Oryctolagus cuniculus: one gene and its partner. The protein of the gene in region 2 interacts with the protein of the main gene of each other region in a biochemical or structural test. Links are inferred from orthologs where the notes say so. Each region holds a gene or a part of one and is shown on either strand. Other genes may lie near its edges.

Evidence for each region. The genes of interacting proteins can lie anywhere in the genome.
Region 1: of the proteins of LATS2 (region 2) and AMOT, one has a biochemical effect on the other in vitro, tested with the Homo sapiens proteins (3 studies listed by BioGRID). The link is inferred for Oryctolagus cuniculus from reciprocal best matches to the Homo sapiens genes LATS2 and AMOT.

Annotation. Positions count from the first base shown.
Region 1 is NC_091453.1:80,575,698-80,580,184, forward strand, and holds part of AMOT (angiomotin), read left to right. Parts: intron 1-921; coding exon 922-1,638; intron 1,639-1,986; coding exon 1,987-2,084; 3' UTR 2,085-4,487.
Region 2 is NC_091440.1:91,908,440-91,913,972, reverse strand, and holds part of LATS2 (serine/threonine-protein kinase LATS2), read left to right. Parts: coding exon 1-105; intron 106-1,767; coding exon 1,768-3,179; intron 3,180-4,328; coding exon 4,329-4,911; intron 4,912-5,533. UniProt on the Homo sapiens protein: Negative regulator of YAP1 in the Hippo signaling pathway that plays a pivotal role in organ size control and tumor suppression by restricting proliferation and promoting apoptosis.

The sequences.
Region 1 (4,487 bases), on a different chromosome or scaffold from region 2:
ACAATTAAAGAGGCCAGGGCCTGAGAAGATAAGAATTCTAAGTTCTTGGGTGGGAAGGGAGATAGCATCAGTGGCCTCTTAAAAATTTCTTCAATTTGGTCTTTGCTACACAGAATCCTTGTCCATGTCCAAAGCCCATGTGCCTCTTGTGCCATTCACAATTTCAAAATTCCAGCATTTCTTTGTTCTTTTCTCCCCTACAAGAGGACGACCCAGCATTCTACTTAATCAAAATCAATCTGGGTCGCAGGTTTTTGTTACCAGAACATTCTGATATGAGAACAGAATGTACTTTTTCCATTCCAAGCCTGTCCCTTCCATCCCCACTAATCAAAACCTCCAAAGTATTGTAGATACCATGGTACATTTTTAAAGCATGATGAAGGGAGTCATGTATATTTATTTACTTTAGCTCTTTGTGATGCTTTTTCACCTTTCTTGGTCCTCTGACACTTGCAAGTTCCTTTGCTTAGACCAGAGAAAGCATTTGGGAACCATGCTCATGTTCAGAACCATAGATCACACAATTAATAGCAGACTTATCTGTGTCTTAAGACTTCTTCCTCTGGTCATTTCCAGCTCTCTGGTAATGTGTGGTGTTGGTTATAAGTGGAACCGAGTGGAAGAATTCTTTCTAATCACCATTGGGAAAAATAAAACAGATACTCAGAACACTTCACTGTTTAATGTGTTGTGCTGGGAGTTGGATAATGAGGACCAGGGATCTTCCAAATCTAGAAGAAACCATTAGCCATGGTGGAAAATGCTGATAAGCCAACTCCTGAGTTTGCTGGAGGCAAAAAGGTTAAGAATTTAGGCCCACTCAAATTTCTCCTGAAGTCCTGAAGAGAAACAGATAATCAGATGTATGGATTAGAATACTGTATTGTTTCCTAACCTCTCTCCCTTGTTCATTTGCAGGCATTCTCCTGGGTGGAGACTACCGTGCTGAGTCTGTCCCTTCCACACCTTCGCCTGTGCCCCCCTCCACTCCCCTGCTCTCGGCTCACTCCAAGACAGGCAGCCGAGACTGCAGCACCCAAACTGAACGTGGACCGGAACCCAACAAGCCTGCAGCTGTTACTCCCATCTCTGTTCCTGCTCCAGTTGCTGCTGCCGCCACTGCTGCTGCCATCACTGCCAACACTGCCACTGCTGCCACCAACACCAACACCATGGTAGCTGCTGCTCCAGTCGCGGCTGCTGCTGTTGCTCCAGCTGCCACTGCTGTTGCTGCTGCCCCATCTCCAGCAACTGCTGCTGCTCTTACTGTTGCTGCTTCTCCAGCTGCTGCTGCTCAGATGCCAGCTGCTGCCTCTGCCACCACCGCCACTGCTGCTCCTGCTGCTGCTCTTGCTCCTGTTGCTGCTGTTGCTGCTGTTGCAGTTCAGGTTGCTCCAGCTGCTCCGGCTCCGGTTCTAGCTCCAGTTCCAGCCCCGGCTCTGGCCCCAGCAGTGGCTCAGGCTTCTGCTCCGACTCAGACTCAGGCACCAACTCCTGCTCCGACTGTGGCTCCTCCTGCATCTCCAGCTCCAGCTCCAGCTTTGGCTCAGGCTGAGGCTCCTGCAAGTCCAGCCACTGGTTCTGGATCACGTCGTTTGTCTATACCAAGTTTGACTTGCAATTCAGATAAGACAGGTAATAATTCTCTACAGCAGGGAGCTTTTGGTACGGCTCTCAAAACGCAGGTTGATTTGTGGGTACCTGCTGCTCAGGCAGAGATGGTCATCTGGACTGAGCCCTTCATGTTGTAATGGGGAGCCATTAGAGGAGGGGAGAGGGTCTACAGATGATTTCTCTTCCACTGAGACAGGAATGGGCATGAGTAGAAGCCATTTTCCCAGTAGAAGTAAATGGGGGTGAGGGGGTGGCACTCAAGGCTCAATTTACCCTTACCTCCACGAGGGCTCTAATGCTGTCTGTTTCTAGAAAATTGAGCTTTTTAAATATCCTTATAAGTATCTTCAACACCTTATTTTCATTCAGATGGCCCTGTTTTCCACTCCAATACTCTGGAAAGAAAAGCACCCCTTCAGATCCTGGGACAAGAGCCTGAAGCAGAGATGGTGGAATATCTCATCTAAATGACCTTATCAAGAGCTGGAGTTTATCAGAAACAATGCTTTTAATCATTTCCCCCTTTTGTTTGTTCTTATTTTTAGGGTGAGGATAAGGGTTGGGGGGTGGGTATGTTTTCTAAAGGGACTTTTTATTGGAACAATATAGTACTTAAGTAATACCATATGAACTTCAGTCTATTCTGGTATACTCCGAAAGTACCTCTAAAGACAGACTCATCAGAATGTGTTCTGAAGTCTGTTGTTTGCATTAGTACAAAACTGGGACTGTTACCAGGTGGATATACAGTGATGTTTTCAGTGTGCTTAAATTTGTTTAAAATTTCCCTCTTCCAGATTATTTTCTATTGAAGAGCACAGCATGTGTGAAAGACAGTGTATAACATGTAGTGCAGACATGGAAAGCCAGAGAGAGTTCATGTGTGTGCTGTTTTGTGCAGTTACCAACTGGATAGCAGCCAGAGAAAGCTCTCACCTCAGGCTCATGAAAGGGAATAGTTTTAAGAGCTTATGTAAGCTGGAGAACAGGTGGGGAGCACTGGGATACAGAAAGATGCTAGAGCTAATTTTCCCTCTCAGTTTCCCAGCTACCTTGCCCCAAGGGATTGTGTTGATCTTCATTTCAGTGGTGCTTTGGAAGTGGGTTCTTTTGGTTCCCTCCTGGAGGTTCATACATTCATATATATATATATATATATATGTGTGTGTGTGTATATATATATATATATTCTGAAGTAATTTATGCATTTGGATAATTAATATATTGCTTTCAGATGCTAGGAGAGTAAATTAACTGAGTGATATGCAACTTCCTCTCTCCTAGGGGAGTTAGGCATCCAAGGCCTCTATGGAGAGTTGCATGAGGTGCTGTGTGTAGATTGTTATAGCCATGAACACAGCTTGTCTGCCTTTTGTGAGAACAATCAGCTTAGTATTTATTTCTTCTATAGCATAGGTTCACTAGCTGGATTACTTACTAGTCCCAAATTGCCAATAGTTTGCAAAATGAGAGAGCGTTTTTGTTGACAAGTTGAACGCTTTAAATTTCTGGTGACTGTTTTGAAATAATTCATTCTGTTTTTCCAGTTTCTTAGTGTATTTGACTATCGCCTCCAAGGGAATAGCACTAGAAGGCCAAAGTACTATGGTGCAGACAGAGGAGAGGTGGATTGTGTGGTCTTCTCAGTTGCCTCTTCTCATTGCCAGGGATTCCTTGAAATAGCTTTGGGAAGCAGTGGGAAATGTGTATGTGGGCGGGGACCAAAGGAGGCAGTGGCTGCAAGCCTTGCCAGTCTGTCTCCAATGACACAGAGGGTGCTACTTGCCACAGGCCCCTGCCCTGTGTCACCTCTCTGCCCTTCATTAAGGGGACAAATCTGCAGACAGTGTCATTAAGTTCAGTTTTCAGGGGTATAGGAAGGGTGAAGGGGCATTGTTAGGTAAGGGTGGGGATAGAAGTTTTGGGATATATTAGAAACCAGATTAATAGAAGAATAGGCCTGATATATTGTATCATGAGCCATAGTGATGGGAAGGAACTTAAGCAACATAGCCCTTCCCTCTAATTTTAGTGATGAGAATCTGAGACTTAGAGAGGTTCGGTGACTTTTTCAAGATCACACAGCACTGCTGTCCACACTGCCAATTACCATGCTGATTTTGGGAAACCCTTATACACGGAAAAAGAGCCCATTTTAAGAAAAAGACATCTTCATGGTCCAAGGCATCTGTGTTTTGTAAAATGTCCTTGGCTTGAGTAGTTTGTCCAGGGAGCTGACAATTCTTATCTTGCCTCTTGTGCAGTGCCTTGTGCAAGGTTTATCCTTTCCTGATCCCCACTTCAATAACAAGTCACAGGAAATGTCCTCCTAAGAAGTCAACCCCACTTTGTTTCTCCATATCAGACTTAGTGTCTCAAATCATCTCATGGGGTTCTGCGAGTAAAGGCATGGCACAGTTAGAAGTACTTTGTGTAGTTCTTATTATCTTCAAAATGAATTATTGTGTGCATGTGTTTGGGATGGGGAGATGAGGAAGGATAATGTGATTTTTCAGCCAGTCCTCATATTTTTATTAATGACATGGTCATTGGAATATCAGTTCTCCATAAAAATTAGAAGTGCAGTGGTATTAATACTTATTCATACTATCCTTAAAATAACAATAATAATACAACTGTAATGGTAGAAGCAGCAAGTAGCACACTTCAGAAGAGCTACTTTCTATCTATCCAAATGAAGGAATAAATAGAAGCAAACCTTTCACTTACTCCTTTCATGGTTGTAGCACATTGCCAGGATTTGTGCTCACTCTGGGAGCCATGAGTGTAATCACATTCTGGAATATGACAAATGTCATACATTCCACACCGTGTGGCAGCCATCTTTTTAGACTTAGGTGTTTTGGAGA
Region 2 (5,533 bases):
CCGGCAGCAGGAGTATAGAAGCCGCCCTGGAGTACATCAGTAAGATGGGCTACCTGGACCCGAGGAACGAGCAGATAGTGCGAGTGATTAAGCAGACCTCCCCAGGTGAGCCCAGACCTCAGTGTAGGGGGTGAGGAGGATTTGGGACTCAGGAGCACAAAAGAAGTGCAGCTGGGCCTGGTCAGTGCCATCTGTTGGCCAGTCGCCTCCTTCCAGTAGTGGGTGAGCTGAGCCGGCCATGCCCCGGTAGAGGCAGCAGATCTCGGGTGGCCACCCCACCCCACCCCACCTCATCTGAAGTACCTGAAGTACTTCTTCCCTGGGGAATTTGTTTTTTTCCCTGAAAGATCTAAAAATACAGCAACCTAAGAATAAAAATGTTCTTTTACTTTCTTGTGGGCCTGTGGAAGAGTCTTGGAAAAGAGAGGTTTAGGCCGGCGCCACGGCTCACTAGGCTAATCCTCCGCCTGCGGTGCCAGCACCCCGGGGTCTAGTCCCGGTCGGGGCACCGGATTCTGTCCTGGTTGTTCCTTTTCCAGTCCAGCTTTCTGCTGTGGCCAGGGAGTTCAGTGGAGGATGGCCCAGGTCCTTGGGCCCTGCACCCCATGGGAGACCAGGAGAAGCACCTGGCTCCTGGCTTCGGATTGGCGCAGTGCGCCAGCCACAGCAGCCATTGGAGGGTGAACCAACGGCAAAGGAAGACCTTTCTCTCTGTCTCTCTCTCACTGTCCACTCTGTCAAAAAAAAAAGGGGGGGGGTTTAGTTCATTAATTTGAAAGCACACCTTTTTTCACACTGGAGCCCCTGAGAGCAGGTGCCAAATGGCAAGTGCTGCAGGATAGTGGGCCTTGTCCGAGTGCTGGGTTTCCCTTCAGAGGCCCTCAGGAGGCCCAGGGGCACCTGCGGTCCCTGGGGTGTGATAAAAGAGTCATGGGAATGAACACTTGGTGTGGTGGGAGGTGTCACATGCCTTGAAGGCTGTGTCTCACTGTGACGAGGACACCATTTCTGTTCTCTGGAGACCAGGAGTTTCCTTACCCAGTCCCTGGCTGGCGTCTGTGTGTGATCCTTACAGTTGGGTCTGGGGGGATGGGCGTCCTCCCCTGCCCATCTCCCTGCAGGCCAGATCAGCTCCGCTTTGCCTGTGCCCCACCATGTCCGCTGGCTGGGCCTTGGCTCTGCCTGTTGTTCCCCCCGGGAGGGGTCTCCCCACAACCCAGCACAGGTCTTTGCAGAAGCAAGCAGGGTAGAGCAGGGCTGGCACAGAGGGGAGCAGCTTCTGCCCTTCCGTCCCCGTGTCTGTGTCAAATGAGAGATTTGCACAGCAGGGAGGTCAGGATTAAGCAAGTCGCAGCTGAAACCCATCTGGTTATTTGTAGAGATTTTATGGGTGCTTCATAGTTTTAATAAAGGAGGTGGCAGAACAGCTTCAATTTCAAAAATAGGAAAAAGAAAAGTGGGCATTTGAACTATGTGGCAGTAAACCCAGCAGCCCCAGCTCAATTCAGCAAGGCAAAGAGGCCGCTGGTCCGAGCGTCCCCGCCCTGCCCCGCCCCAGGACTGGGACACTGCCCTCGGACTGCCTTGCCCCTTCCCGGTGCCCTCTGGACTCCAGCCCAACCCTGCACTGGGCCACTTTTGCGGCCACTGGTCCACAACGCAGCCCCTGGGATGAAGGCCCTGTGAGGCTCTCGGCCCCCTGAGGCATTGCCAGGTAGGGACCCAGAGCGCTGGGGCCCACTGATTCCGTCTTTCCATCTCCTGCAGGAAAGGGCCTGGTGCCTACCCCGGTGACGGTGACGCGGAGGCCCAGCTTAGAAGGCACAGGTGACGCGTTCCCACCCTACCATCCGCTGGGCGGCGCGGCCTATGAGGGCCCCGCGACGCTGGATGAGGTGCCGCGGCCCTACGTGGACTTCCTCTTCCCCGGGGCAGCGCCCCACGGCGTGCCGGGGCCCCCGCACCCTCCCAAAGGCTACGCAGCAGCGGGCGTGGAGGCGGCGGGGCCGCACTTCTCGGGCCCCGGCGCTGCGGGACCCGCGCTGCCGCTGCCCGGCGCGCACTATGGCCGCGCGCACTTGCTGGTGCCCGGGGAGCCGCTGGCCTACGGCGTGAAGCGCAGCCCCTCCTTCCAGAGCAAGGCGTCGCCCGAGGCTGCGGTCTACCCGGGCCTGACTGCCAAGGGCCAGGGGGGCCCGCCGGGCGCCGGCCTCGCCTTTCCAGCCCCAGGCGCCGCGCTCTACGCCCCACACCCGCACCACAAGCAGGCCAGCCCCGCGGCCCACCAGCTGCACGTGATGAGCGCCAGGGGCCAGATGTTCGCAGGCGACAGCCCCCCGCAGAGCCTGCTTGCCCCCTCCAGAAACAGCCTCAACGCAGACCTGTACGAGCTGGGCGGCGCCCCTGTGCAGGCTTGGCCGGCCACCTCCCTGGCCCGCCGCGACTCCCTGCAGAAGCCTGGTCTGGACGCGCCACGGCCGCACGCGAGCTTTCGGCCCGACGGCCGCGCGCCCAGCAGGACCAACTCCTTCAACAGCCAGCAGCCGCGGGCCAGCGCTCCCGTCCAGGCCGAGCCCTCCCTGCCTGCTCCCAACACCGTCACGGCCGTCACGGCGGCGCACATCCTGCACCCTGTGAAGAGTGTGCGGGTGCTGAGGCCCGAACCGCAGACGGCGGTGGGGCCGTCCCACCCGGCCTGGGTGCCCGCGCCCGCCCCGACCGCAGACGGGCTGGACGCTAAGGACGAGCACGCCCTGGCCCTCGGCAGCCCCTACCCGCTGGATCTGGAGTTGGGCAGTCCCGACCGCAGGTGCCCGCCCCCACCCTACCCGAAGCACCTGCTGCTGCCCAGCAAGTCGGAGCAGTACGACCTGGATGGCCTGTGTGCGGGTGTGGAGCAGAGCCTCCGAGGGGGCACAGCCGCCGAGCCAGCCGACAGGGCAGACAAGAGCCACAAGGGCGCAAAGGGGGACAAATGCGGGAAGGACAAAAAGCAGATCCAGACTTCCCCCGTCCCTGTCCGCAAAAACAGCAAAGACGAGGAGAAGCGAGAGTCGCGCATCAAAAGCTACTCACCTTATGCCTTTAAGTTCTTCATGGAGCAGCACGTGGAGAATGTCATAAAAACCTACCAGCAGAAGGTGAACCGGAGGATGCAGCTGGAGCAAGAGATGGCCAAAGTAATTCCCCGCTTCTTCTGTCCGTTTGCCCCACGTGCGCCCCTCAGTTGGTAACAGCAGGGTCCCTTTTCTGCTCCCACTTTAGACTAACCCTTCTCACAGGTGTGTTAGAGAAGTCACAGATGTTGCTACTTCCCTCTCCCACCCCCTTTCTCCTGAGGGATGGCTGTGCGTAATAGGGTTATCATGTGTGTCCTTATTCTTTAAAAAACTCAGCAAGGAGCCCGGTGCTGTGGGGTAGTGGGAAGAGCCTCCTTCTGCAGTGCTGGCATCCCATGTGGGATTAGGTTTGAATCCCAGCTTCTCCACTTCCGATCCAGTGCTCTGCGATGGCCTGGGAAAGTAGGGGAAGATGGCCCAAGTGCGCACCCTCATGGAGACCAGGAAGAAACTCCTCCTTGTGGCTTCTGATTGGCTCAGCTCCGGCCCTTGCGGCCATTTGGGGAGTGAACCCGCAGATGGAAGACGTTGTCCCTCTGGCTCTGCCTTTTAAATAAATGAATAAACCTTTAAAAAAAGAAACCATCAAAATTTGCATAGTAACACAACACTTTGAAAAATAGAAACAAGGTTTGGGTTTTTTATAAATTTAAGGAAAAATATATCTAGTAGTGATTCATGTATGCCCTAAGTAGCTAATAATGTTTGGCACTAGAGTGCTACAGAAGGTTAATTATTAATAAATTATTCAAATTAAAATGGAACACTAACTTTAAAGTCACACAGGGCCAGTAATTCTGAAAATCGAATCTGTGCTCTTACTTCCTGCTGTCTAGCATTCACTGACCTTTTCTTTCCTGCCATCTCATTTTTCCCTGGGCTATTAAAATATTAGATTGCTCTTGGAGTTTCAGGGATGTTGTGGTCCCATCCTAATGGAAGCACCCCTCCTTTCTGGAGCTTAAACTCACCCAGAGAAAGAACTATTCTTTTCTTACCTTGGATTCCAGATTTGTGGCTGGCTGTGGCTATAAAGGAGAAGGCCAAATATTATCTTGCTTGTAGTGTATAAGGCCCATTCTAAGGTGTTTTGTGTGAATTAAGTTAGAGCCCTCTCGGTTCTGGGGAGCCCCCAGCCCACCCCCTGCTGTGGCTTGCTGTGCTGGGACCCCCTGTAACATGGCTCCTCCTCCCTTTCCTTCAACACAGGCTGGACTGTGCGAAGCTGAGCAGGAGCAGATGAGGAAGATCCTCTACCAGAAGGAGTCCAATTACAACAGGCTCAAGAGGGCCAAGATGGACAAGTCCATGTTTGTGAAAATCAAAACCCTGGGCATCGGTGCCTTTGGAGAAGTGTGCCTTGCTTGTAAGGTGGACACTCACGCTCTGTACGCCATGAAGACCCTGAGGAAGAAGGATGTGCTGAACCGGAACCAGGTGGCCCATGTCAAGGCCGAGAGGGACATCCTGGCTGAGGCCGACAACGAGTGGGTGGTGAAACTCTACTACTCCTTCCAAGACAAAGACAGCCTGTACTTTGTGATGGACTACATCCCTGGCGGGGACATGATGAGCCTGCTGATCCGCATGGAGGTCTTCCCCGAGCACCTGGCCCGGTTCTACATCGCAGAGTTGACGTTGGCCATCGAGAGCGTCCACAAGATGGGCTTTATCCACCGGGACATCAAGCCTGACAACATTCTGATAGATCTGGATGGTCACATCAAACTGACAGATTTCGGCCTCTGCACTGGGTTCAGGTGGACTCACAATTCCAAATACTACCAGAAAGGTATTGTCTTGGGCATGCCACCTCCACTGTCCACACCCAGACCCCTGTTTGCGTGGGGGTGGCCCCTGATCATTTTGGAATTGTCTGTCACTCTATTTTATAGTCTGCAGTGACATCCTTTTCTCCCTAAAGAAATAGTGTGATGTGTGTTAGGTGTCTTTCCTTAAGGTAGTGGGTTTCACTTTTGCTACATTTTAGATCTTGGAATGTCACAGGGCCTTTGTGAAGAATTCTCATAACCCCTCCAAAAGGGGTCCTCTGTCACAACTAACCTGAATCTAATGTATATTTCACCCCATTCCTTAGACTCCTGCTATTTGAAAAGATAACAACAACAGCAAAAACCCAGCTGGTTGTTATCTTATTTATGGCAGGGATTCTTGAAATAGTTATTTTAATACCCTAACTCAGACTTAATTTTTAACAGACTTAACCTTTAACTCAAAACTCGCCCTGCACCATCTCCATCTTCTGGCCTTGGAGAATGTCGTGCATTTTTTAAAAACCCGCTGCAGATTCGTTCTTGCTCATTTGAAAGCATGGCTTGTTGGACAGGGCCTTGTGATCTAGGCCCAGGAAGCATCAAGAATGTAGCCCTCACGGTGCCCCGCGCCTGCTCGGC